Coturnix japonica: one gene and its partners. The protein of the gene in region 2 binds, or shares a complex with, the protein of the main gene of each other region. Links are inferred from orthologs where the notes say so. Each region holds a gene or a part of one and is shown on either strand. Other genes may lie near its edges.

Region 1 (3,445 bases), on a different chromosome or scaffold from region 2:
TTTAGCTACAGCGATCTCAATCCCACCACCCAATGGTTAAAATCTACCTGCACATTTAAATAAATCTGCATGCCTGAAAACAGCTGAATTATCCAAGTTATAATTTGCATAACGAGAGTTACAAGTAGTTATAGTAAGTTCCCTCATCCACAAAGTTGATTGTTTCTTTTCTTTCTCTCTTTTTTTTAAAGGTGCTACATCTAGTTTGGAAAGCAGACATGCTACAGACAGGAGGGCTTGAGTAACGAAGCCACTTATCCATTATCAAATCACTCTTTGTGCCATGGGCTTGATCCAAGTCCAGTTCTCTTTAAACACAACTGATGTAGCTTCCATTTGACAGACTTCAGGCACAGACAAGTTACACCACATTACATGTGTAATAAAGCAATTCTTAAGTTCTTTAACATTGTTACATTACTACAAAAAGTTAGAAAGGAATGGATTTCTCAGGCTTCATATTGATTTCATCTTCAATCTAGAATAACTGAAAAGACCCATTTAACGTGTAAACAACTAACATTTATTTGAAATGCAGGAATTGTCAGCTTCCATTTCAGTCAGCCAAACCCCCTGCTTCCAGCAGCACACGGCATTTACAAAATGAAGCACATCCCAGAAAGCTGCAAGTGACAAAACAACGTTATACAAAAAACCTAACAGCATCCACGCTGCACAAAGCAGAGTTATGTTTTGACCAATACACATATAACTCACACAAAATATTAAATATCCTCACCTGCTTAGCAGCTCACACCCACCCCCCAAGTCAGTGTGAACGCTTCAAACAAAATACAGCATGTACCCTCAGAATCCATTTGGCCTCTCTCTATTGTAAGTTAACATAAGACACGATTCCTTCATGTCATTTCATCAATAATGCTGCACATAGCTGCATCTTTGTCTAACACCTGATCTCTCTTGCAGCCAGAACGTTCTCTCTGTTTTTCACTCTGTCCAATGCAGTTGTTGCCGTCATCAGTGTCCATTGGTTCTGTTTTCACTCCCAGTCCCCCCTCTGAATGAGGAAGATCATCAGGCAAGGACGCCAGGCAGTTCTGAATCATCTCCACAACTCGCTCTAAATGCTTCTGAAATCGCTCTGCAGTTTCCAGACGCTGACGTTTCTGCACTTCCATCATGACTCGCAGGGTCTCCCTAGCTTGGTGAGGACGGTACTCGTTTATAAGATGATGGACGTGAACAAAAAGCAGTTTCAGGTCCTCCAGTTTCTCTTCTCGCTTTATACTCCCCGGACTCCTTATCAAGATATCCAAGAGATCCAAAAAGTTGACTAAGATAGACATGTTCAGTTTCCTCAATTCCTTTTTGTGATCAAACTGCATGGGATGCAGCCGCTCAATACCCTGGCTTTCCAAAGGTCGGATAATTAAATCGTCACACTGGAACTGATTACCAAACATCATGTAACTGTCTTTCACAGGTGGAGGTGGCTTTGGGGCCAGACCTTTGCGTATGTTTTCATCGGTGTATTCCTTTATATACTGCATTGGAGGCGGAGGGAGGGCACTCACTTGCTGAGGTTCACCCATCTTTGGGGATTAAAATACCTAGTGGATAGAAAAGAAACGTGCATTACATAACTTATGCGACAACTCCACAGCACGCATGAAGCTAAGAAAACAAACCAGACAGGAGATTCTTCAGCACGCAAATAGCAGGAAACTCCCCAATAAATCCACGTCAGCTTTGCACTGACATACACAGCACATTAAGCACTTCTCAAACCAGACCTGCCAACGAGGAGGCACAGAAGGAAGGAGAGGCCTGATCCGCTAAGCCCGCATCCCAGGGCTGGGAGCGGCAGACAACGGCAGGCAGGGAGAGGCAGCCCTTAAAGCAGCACCCCCCTCCCCCCCGGCCCATCACTACAGCACGGCTCCGGGAGGGCCCAAAGCCGCAATGCTGAACAGAAACAAAGGCTGGGCCGGTCCTACACACAAGGCCCAAAGAAAACACCCCACTCACCTGCACACCGCGCTGAAAACACCACCGCCACCACCGACACCAACACCTCACATCCGGCAACTGCTCTCCTTCCTCCTCCCCTCCATTGGCTCGCAGCTCAAATGGCGTCGTAGACTTTGGTTGGATGCCCGCAATGCCAGTCAGGAGCTCGTTCCACTCACAGCCTGGGCTATGGCGCCCTATTGCGGCTGCCAGGGGCACGGCAGGGATCTCAGCGGGGGTCCCAGCAGGGTCCTCTAATGGCAGAGATCCTCGAATGGCAGAGATGGGAGCGGCCGGCCCGACTCTTGTCGGCATCAGACTCCCTGTGAGACCAACTTCTGCATGAATTGGTGTTTAGTATTTGGTATTCCAGGACTGCTTTCATAGACTCGTAGAACTGCCCTCGTTCAGACGCTTCCTGGACTCTGGTGAGCTCAGTGCCCAGACCGTGGGGAGCCGCCGGTGTGATGGCAATGCTTTAACTGCTGAATGATGCAGGGAATATATGTAGAGCTTCCATGCAACAGAAATTTGGGTGTTATTCCATCACAAAGTGAAAGCATCACCCTGGGAAGTGTTAGCATCCTTTCTATAGCTGAACACATGCAGCCTGGATGCATAAAGTCTGCAACAAACCGATGGAACTTCTTGCTTTTCTTCCATTTCTTTGTTTAAGACAGATTTTAAGGAAAAAAACAACTATCTGTGTCTTCCATATTGCCGTGGGACCTCGGGCTGGCTGGCAGCGCTTCTGCAGATGGCCACTGGTCTGGCAATGCGGCTTTTGTGCTCTGATTTCCTTTTTTCCTCAGCAGATGGCAGTAACCTCCTTCATAAGAAGGAATAAGGGTAAGAGAGCCGCTGTCTACGTGCCCTATCAAGGGCAGAGTTGTTTCTAAATATTACTTCAGTGCACTCTCACTACTTTGTAGGATTGGCAGGTGTTGGTTTGCAGAGCAAACTGTTGCAACTCCAAACCCCACAGACAAGGAGTTAAAAGCACCACTTCTAGAGAGGAATGAGAAAACCCACCTGGTGGGGGATATTAACAAGTCTTTGCTATTGTTAGACTTTCCAGACTTTGATTTCACATTCTCATACCACGAGCTGAGCTCGATTATCAGCTGCCTTGCACTCTGTGAACTGCTCAGTACAGCTCTCAGTGCTGTGACTTCAAAAGGTAGCAGGGAGCCAAGCATTTGTTTTTCACACGTCCTTTTGATCTTGAGTCATTTTCCTAGTTTGCACGTAGAGGCCAACAAATGCAAAAAGAAAAAGGGGTTTCATTTTCATTCTTGGTAGTATGACTGAGATGACTGAGAATGAAGGTGAGTACCACACACAGCATTCTCAATTTTGCTTTCTACTCCATTTCTGTGGTTTTCTCAAATAGGGACACTGTCCAAGACAAGTCCACCAGTGATAATACAGCTCAGTTACTACAGATCTGTTGGAATGAACCCAAACACCACTT
Region 2 (4,241 bases):
GCCCCCCGGCTGTCGGGCGCTCCGTCCATAAGGCCGCATTCACCCTCGGAGCTGCCTCGCGCTGCCAACGTGGGGGCTGGAGTGGGACGGGGCCGCTTCAACCGCAGCCGGCGGCGGATGGCGGCATTTCGGGCTCACGGAGCCGCGGCGCCGCGCTCCCCTCCCCCGCCCGCGCTCCTCCAGCCCCGCGGGTGACCCCGCCGCCGGGCGCACGCGCGCCGTGAGGCCGACTGCGCACGCGCGGCCGCCCCCCCTCCCGTCACGGAGCCCGCCGCGCACGCGCTCTGGGCGCCCGGCGGTGCGTGCGGAGGGACGTCAGGGGCGCGCCGTGCGTAACGGCGTCGGGCGTGTCCCATGGTGCCCTGCGCGGGGCTGGCTCCTGCCCACAGTTGAGTTCGGCCCCGAGCGGAGCAGTCGGGCCCGGCCCGGTCGCGCCGTCGCGGTTCTTCCGCGCCCCGCTCCGAGCGCCGCCGCCCCCCGCTCGGCGGGGAGCGAACATGCGACTCCGGCTCCCCGAGGAGGCCGCCGCCGCCGCCGGCGAGTGAGGAGCCGCCGCCCCGGCCCGGCCCGGCCCCGCCGCCCGCCCGCCCCGGCCGCAGCCGCCCCGCTTCGCCCAGGCAATGACAGCGGCTCCGGCCCCCTCCCCGCAGCAGATCAGGGACCGGCTGCTGCAGGCCATCGACCCGCAGAGCAACGTGAGTACGGCCCGCCGGGCCCGGGGCTCCCGACCGGCGGCGCGGGGACGCCGAGCTCCGGCCGCTCTCCGGCCCCGCCGCCGCCTCCCGCTGTGGGAACGAACGAACGCCGTGGGGCCGCGCGGCCGCCGCCGCCGCTTCTCCTCCTGCCGGGACCGCGGCGCGCCGCGCTCCTCCCCGGGCACCGGAAGCCTCCGCTGCGGGCGGTAGCGGCAGCTCCCGGCTCCGTGCTCGCCCACGGTCCCGTTCCCGGCGGCGCTTTTCCGCGCGCTCCCTCCGTGGAGCTCGGGGGTCTCTCCCCGTTTCCCCTCCGGCCGCGCTCTCCCTCCGCCCCGCGCCGTCTCCCGTCACTCCCGGCGCCGTCCGGCTGTGCCCGGCCATGCGGCGCGCGGCCCGGCGGCCTCCCCACGCCAGGCCGCGGCTCGGGTGCGGCCTGCAGGGGGCTCTGGGCCGGGCTGCGGACTCTCGCAGGGCGCCCACCTGTTCCGCGGCCCCTCCGCCGCCTCCCGCCGCAGACGCCGGGCCCGGGGCCGTCCCCGCGTTCTGGGGGCGCCCGGAGGGCTTCGAAGGTGGATCCGGGGCACTGGAGCGGCTCCGGCAGCGGGCAGCCTCGGTCTTCGCTTTTATCCTTCCCTGCAGAGCGCTAATGAGCTTATCTGCTCCTTCTGGGATGTAGAGTAAGCACGGGAGTCGACGTAGATTTTACCAGTAAGTGGTCTTCATGTGTAAGTCGTGGTAATCCAAAGTGTTATTTACTCCTTTTAAGGTTTTTTTTGGCATAGTAAAGCAGCTCTTCACATCCACGTTTACTACGGTGAGAGGACTGTGGGGTCTGCGGTCTGTCAGATTTATTCGATCTGAAATCCACATTTGCCATGGCAGTGCACAGAGCTGTGCTGCTCCCAGCTGTCTGTCGCAGGGCAGTCAGGGTGAGTCAGGCTGCAGCGTGCTGTGCTGTGCCAGGAGTGCACGAGATGGGCTCCGAGGTTCATTGGAGCTGTGCCTGCTTCTCTCTGAGCAAATCTCTCCCATAACAGACAGGTGTTGTGTTCTCCGAGTGGCTGATGAACTTACTGCTGTTTGGAAGCATCATGTAGCGCCATGCAAGTGATGTGAAAACTGAAAGATAAACCACTTTGTAATAGCCTGTTGTGATAAGCATTTGTCATGAGCTGCAGTATTACCAGCTTGAGTAACAGTAATGAATGATAAGGGTGATGGTGGGCTTTCAAGTCTCAGTTGTTGGAGTCTGTGGTCCTTTAACTTGGTAGATACGGAAACAATCTTTCCTGAGTTCTGTTTGCTCTGGGACTTGTGGCTGTGGGATTTTGGTTTTACCTTACACTCAGCATCAAGCTGGTTAAATACAGTTCTAATGGAGCAGTGGTTTCTTGTCACTTCAGACCTGCTGATGCTGGTTGCTCTGTTTCTGGGGTTACTTTCTAAAACGTTGTAGCTGTGTAGAGTTAAGAATTATGTTTTGTGATGAATGTGCTTCTTCCATGTGCGATGTCAGGTTGTGCTGTGGTGGTGGTATGGAGCAGGAGCTCTGCTGGGCAGGTCTGAGCATCAGGCAGCGCTCTGTGGGCCTGCAGCAGGTCAGTAGCCCCATAAGCTTAGAAGCAATGTATGTTAAATTATAATTCTACATACTTGATACTTATCCAGGGCAATAATTAGCGGTGGAAAAATCAGCCCATTGTTCAGAAATGCCTGTAGGCAGGGGGCTGTCTTCTATTTTAACCTCTTCTTCGAATGAGAACAGAAGTGGTGGAGTTGAGGTTCATCATACAGACTTGGACTTTTTTTTCCCAGCACATAGTAAGCAATAGATGGACAGGCAGAACTGCTGTGCTGTTTTAGTGAAAGGGAGAAAAATATGAGTTTTGAACGTTCTTAAAAGCAGATTGTGACTTAAATCTGACTTGATCTCCAATGTTGAAGTACAAGAGAGGCTGCTCTGTTGTCTCCCCACAGGAAGCAGTTGTGCAGCTCTGAGCTGCAGCACTTCTTGGTGCACAGGGAGAGTTGTGGCTCTTTTCTTCTGGCTTCTGGAGACTTTTCTTGAAAGAAGTGGTTGCATTCAAACTTAAAGCATTCATTATTGTGATTGACTTCCTTGTTTACTAAGAAAAAAGCTTTGAGGCCTGGATTTCTTTTGGACTTTTTGATGTGATTGTCGGTGCGGGTACGTGTGTGTCCCTGGAGAGGAGGGAGGGTGAAAACTGCACCAGATCTACCCAGCATGTGGCACAAGGATCAGTTTGGTGGGGCTGTGGAGGGGAGGTGGTTCTCATCACGCTTTGCTGTGGGGTGCTGTCAACTTCAGCTTTGCTGATATCTTCCCCAACACAACCCGCTTTCCCCTTGTGGATATTCAATCCAGTGGGACTGTGGAGGTCTTTGTGGTATGAGCAAATCTTGGATAAGTGTGAGGTCCTCTCAGAGAAGATCCTTCCTGTGGTGAGTTAAACAAGATGGCTCTTCCCCAGGTTGTTGGAACCCATGTGCTTTCAGAAGCTGTTCACTATTCTGATCATCTGTTTTAACCTCTGCTTGAAGCTCTGCTGACTTGGAGCGCTGCTTATATTGTACACACATTTAGCACTTGAGACCTCTTCTAGTATTTGCTGCAGAATGTTTTGATAACTTATTTTCACACACTTGGATCACTATTTATGTGATAAAGCTCTGTTTCAAAGGAGACCTGTAAGAAATAAGCTATTTAAAAAAAAAATTACATCATATTGGAAGCCACACGGGATGTCTGCTGTTACATCTCCATTTATTCAGCCTTTTCCCCTTGCAAAAACATATGGACAAACTACTTCTGCTCCATGACTTACACCCCATTTACCAGCATGGGGTCATTGGGAATGGACCCAGTCCTGTATTGGAGCAGGGAGTTGGGTGTTGTACCCCCAGCAGGGCAGTGTGATGTTCCTGCAGGGAAATCCTCCTCCTGGGAGGACTTTTTGGACAGCACAGCTGGGGAAGCGTCCGATGGGCTCTTGGAGCGGGCTTTTAGGGGAAAGGGCTCCCTGGTTCTGGTAGAAGCAGCACTTTTCTCTTTGGGCTCACTGTGCTGAGCAGAACCCCTCTGCTGGGTGAAGGCGCTCCAATGGGGCATCAGGAGTCTCATTGCCTGGTGGCAGGAATGGTGTGAGCTGTTCGCTTTTGCTCTGTGGGAAAGACTGTTAGAACTGTTCTCACAATTGCACAGGGTCCTCATCCCAAATATGTAGCAGCCTTTGTGTTTTGAATATTAGACAATAATTTAATTATTTACCATTAATAGCACTTGAAGGTGTGAGCCCAGCTCTGGTTTGAGGTCACCACCCCTCAGATGCTCACTGTATGGGTTGGGCTGCCTGCAGTCCAGGCTGCCGTGCACACTGAGCTCCATGGCTTTGCTGCTCGGCCTCTGGGAGATGTCTGCAGGCCAGAACATTAATGATGAATCCGTCTATGTGCTGTGCTATGTTACCTAGTGTTGGGTGATCTTCCAGTCTCATGGTTAGTGATGTTTCCACAGCTGTTTTCTGG
Region 3 (4,027 bases), on a different chromosome or scaffold from region 2:
CCTCTGCACTTGGCAGCTCCTCAGGCACCTTCAGCATCTGAGCTATAAACCCAGAAATGGAGCAATGCACGGTCTGGTGGGCCTGGGTTTTCAGGGATCAGTGTGGGGACAAACACTGAGTTGGAATGGATAGGATGATCCTCCAGATACTAAGAGCCACGTTTATTATGTTCTTAACAATATGCTCATTGTGGAAAGCTTCTCAGAATCACAGAATCACAGAATTATCAAGGTTGGAAAAGACCTAGAAGATCATCTAGTCCAACCATTACCAATGCTTCCCAGCTAAATCATATTCCTCAGCACCACATCCAAGCGTTTCTTGAACACTCCCATGGTTGGTGACTCCATTACATCCCTGGGCAGTGCATTCCAATGCCTGGCTACTCTTTCCGAAAAGTAATACTTCCTAATGTCCAGCCTGAATCTCCCCTGACGCAGCTTAAAACCATTCCCTCTAGTTCTATCACTGATTACACGAGAGAAGAGGCCAACCCCCAGCTCACTACACCCTCCATTCAGGAAGTTATAGAGAGCTATAAGGTCTCCCTCCTCTTCTCCTCCTCTTCTGTTACATTTCACTGAATGAAGCAGTTTCCTGATGAAGGGTGGTGGTGCAGCGATGTTCAGCTCAGGCTGCCACAGCTGGGAGAGGTGTTTGAAGGGGTAGATGGAGATGGAGTGTGCAGCATGAGGAGAACCCCTATGGCGTGCACACAGCCAAGTCACACTTAGTGTTTTGAACAAATAAGTCTTGTCGGACCACACAAAGACAGTCTTCACATGCCCATGGGTGCTGACAGCTGTTAGCAGCACAGGGGAGCAGCCAGGAGTTTGCTCACCTTGCTGAGTCCCCTGTGACTGCTGACAGATATTCCGCCAGCTCCTGGTGGACAAGTGAGGTTCTCCCATGGTGTCCAGGCATCTTTCCCCCTTGTGACTCACCCTCGGGCTTGCGGGAGGGATGAGGGATGCAGGCACACCTGCACACTGTCAGGGTGCAGGAAATAACCCTCTCAACACTTACCATACCCTGAAATCATCGCTCTTTTTGCCTCCACCGCCCCGCCCAAGCGCAGGCCCAGGCCCAACCCCACACCCCACGCCGTCCCGGTGCCGTCGGGCATGTTGGGTGTCTCCCAGCGCTGACCCGGCCGGGCGGAACCCGCGTGCGGGGGAACGCTCAGCAGCGCCGCGTGTTGCCGCCCGGCGGCGGCGGCGCGGGCACGGGGCGGCAGCGGCCGCCTCCTTCCTGGTGCCGGCGCGGGGGCGGCGGCGCGGCGGGGCCGGGGTAGCGCAGGGCCCGGGCGCCTCCCACGGCTCCTCATGGCCGGGAACTTCTGGCAGAGCTCGCACTAGTGGGTGCCGCGGTCGGGGGCCGGGTGGGGGTGCCGCGTTTCGGCCGCTCGTTGACCGGCTGTAGGGTGCGGGGACGTTGGGGGCCTGCGGGGCGGGCCGGGTGGAAGCCCGGAGCCGGGCTCGGCTATGGGCCCGGCCTGCGGCTGTGAGTGGCTCTGGATCGGGGTGGTGGAGGTGGCCTGGCTGGGTGGCGGTCGGTACGTGTGCATGTGTCCCGGGTGCAGCTGGAGACTGCGGGTGGGATATATTTATCTTCAGCTGTGGCACGTTGAGGGTTGGGCTGTGTCAGAATACTGCATTGGGAGTACGCTGGGCTTTGAATGGATGCCCGGGGTGGACTAAATATAGCATAAAGCTTTCAAGTAATCAGTAGTGCACAACTTCTCTCCAGTCGGTTTGATTCTCTGTAGCTAAAGGATGATGTGAGTCCCTGCTGGTGTTTTTGCAGATGTCTAACTTGTAAACCCCTAGAGAATATTTGCTTGAGCAGATTGCCCATGGCTTGGCTAAAAGTCACTGGGCCTTAGCCCACAGTGGTAGCCCGTTGGTGCAGGAGGACGTGTAACATTGATGAAGAGTTACTGAAGTTAGTTTCCTTTCCTTCAGTTTACAATGGATTTTGGATAAACAAGATCTACTGAAGGAACGCCAAAAAGACTTGAAATTTCTGACTGAAGAAGAATATTGGAAGCTACAGATATTTTTTACTAATGGTAAAATTGTTCTTCTTTTATTTGTGCCATATAATTGTATAGTATCTGCTGTGCCCGGATGTAAGTGGCTTAGAGGATGTGGTTTTCTTTACTGCATTGCATATACTTTTCACAATGTGTTTTAACAATGAGTTGGAATGCCTGCAGCATTTGTTGTTCAGTTAACTGTATTAGCTCAGGAGAAATTACATATAACCTGGCTGCATATGTAATGTGTTAACCCGTGGTAGGGCAAAACACAGAGCACTTCTGATTTTCAGGAGGTTCTATTAAAAAAGGCACAGAACAAGAGAAGCAAGGAGAAGCTACTAAACTAGCATATTAAAGGCTCACTGATGAACAGCAATAATCAAACTGTGATCTGTGAGCTTCTGGTGGGTTATGTGGTAAGTATTTTAGCCAGTGTGTGCAGTCCTGTTAAAAAGCAAAGCTTGGAATCTTGTTATTTGTGTTCAGTTACACTCTCAGAAACTTGCACAGTGGCCCATATCTTGGCCCATGTGGCTGATTCCCCGGCAGTGGCTGGCTCTCAGATTGCACAGTGTTGTCTGCAGCCTGTTCTAAGGAGTTTGGGGCTTGTTTGTGAAGTTATCTAAGACGTGATCCTGCAAAGCATTTAACCCTATGAATAGCTGCATTGGAGTTTATCAGGTTATACAGACTCTTAAAGTCTTTCCTAAGCAATTGCCTGACATTAAAGGGATATTTACATGCAGGCAGCTATTTGAACATTTTTCATAGTTGTACATAGGAAGTACAAGACACTTATCATTTCAGCTATCTAGTCAGGCATACTTTAGACAGAAAAGTTAAATGACTTTGCCAAAGCCACTGGAAGAGCTTACCTTTATACTGGATTGTAACTGTGAAAGGCACTTAGCCCAGCTTCCTTCTTAGGTTAATGGTTTCTGCAATAATTGAGTATGCTCCAAGTCTGATTTCTGTTGGTATGTTTTCATTATTGCTTTTTCAGCACCAGAAAGCCAAGCAAACAATGATTTATCAGTTTGATCAATTCCTTATGTTCCTTGAGGTTAAAACAGTTTCCTAGCTTCCTAATGCAAAAAGAACAAATAGGATATTTTATATATATATATATAAAATGTTTGTTATATAAAATATATAACAAACTGATATTTTAAAAACTGTATTTGTGTTAATTTTCATTGGCATTAATTATGGAGTGTGCCCTTTTTTATGTTCCACTTTTTTCCTGAGAAAACACTTAGAAACTATGTAGGTTGCTCTGAAAATGATACCTCCCCGCTATTTATTTCCACAGAAACTATGACAGATACAAAGAGCACAATAGCCCTATTGGATAGAACAAATTCTCAGCTACAAAACGTTGTTTTTCAACATTCATCACTATTAGCTATGCATTTTCATGATCATCTAGAGCCAGATCGTCACACTTGTGAAAATCTGCAGCAGAGATGACCCACTGTTTCACAGCTGCTATGATGGCATTGTTGCTAGGAAAATGTTGTCCATGCAGTCCATCTTTCATCAGATCAGACAGGTAGAAATGAAAAGCTGCGAAGTCCAGAGTATACAATGACTGTTGTAGGACAGTCCAGTCAAGATTGACAGTGTGCTCTACAAAACTGGTATAGGACCTAGAATTATCATGTTGCGAGAGAAAGATTCATTTCTTTGTCATGACTATGGAGCCTTCACCTTAGTTAGCATCACAACATAGCTGTCAGAGGTGGTGGTTTCTCCAGGTTCCAGGAGGTCCATGGGGATCACCCCTTCCCTATCCCAAAAGGCAGTGCACATCTCTTTACCCATTGGCGCTCTGTCTTGAACTTCGATGGGGAATTCATATGTCACTGTATGGGAACTGTTGAATCACAGCCTTAACCCCTTATGGAGCGCCTGGGGAAAGAACCGATTAGCCCTGGGAGCACAGGTGAAGGCAATTCATATGTGTGACTGGAAGGGGTGGAGCC

The links. The genes of interacting proteins can lie anywhere in the genome.
Region 1: MED26 (region 2) and MED7 share a complex: the UniProt entries of both Homo sapiens proteins name them as parts of the mediator complex. The link is inferred for Coturnix japonica from reciprocal best matches to the Homo sapiens genes MED26 and MED7.
Region 3: MED26 (region 2) and CCNC share a complex: the UniProt entries of both Homo sapiens proteins name them as parts of the mediator complex. The link is inferred for Coturnix japonica from reciprocal best matches to the Homo sapiens genes MED26 and CCNC.

Annotation. Positions count from the first base shown.
Region 1 is NC_029528.1:6,561,722-6,565,166, forward strand, and holds MED7 (mediator of RNA polymerase II transcription subunit 7), read right to left. Parts: upstream 2,096-3,445; 5' UTR 1,990-2,095; intron 1,783-1,989; exon of another isoform or gene 1,755-1,782; intron 1,572-1,754; 5' UTR 1,554-1,571; coding exon 861-1,553; 3' UTR 501-860; downstream 1-500. UniProt on the Homo sapiens protein: Component of the Mediator complex, a coactivator involved in the regulated transcription of nearly all RNA polymerase II-dependent genes.
Region 2 is NC_029543.1:3,344,967-3,349,207, forward strand, and holds the start of MED26 (mediator of RNA polymerase II transcription subunit 26), read left to right. Parts: upstream 1-1,441; 5' UTR 1,442-2,170; coding exon 2,171-2,293; intron 2,294-4,241. UniProt on the Homo sapiens protein: Component of the Mediator complex, a coactivator involved in the regulated transcription of nearly all RNA polymerase II-dependent genes.
Region 3 is NC_029518.1:64,940,584-64,944,610, forward strand, and holds the start of CCNC (cyclin-C), read left to right. Parts: upstream 1-1,227; 5' UTR 1,228-1,326; coding exon 1,327-1,358; intron 1,359-1,965; coding exon 1,966-2,072; intron 2,073-4,027. UniProt on the Homo sapiens protein: Component of the Mediator complex, a coactivator involved in regulated gene transcription of nearly all RNA polymerase II-dependent genes.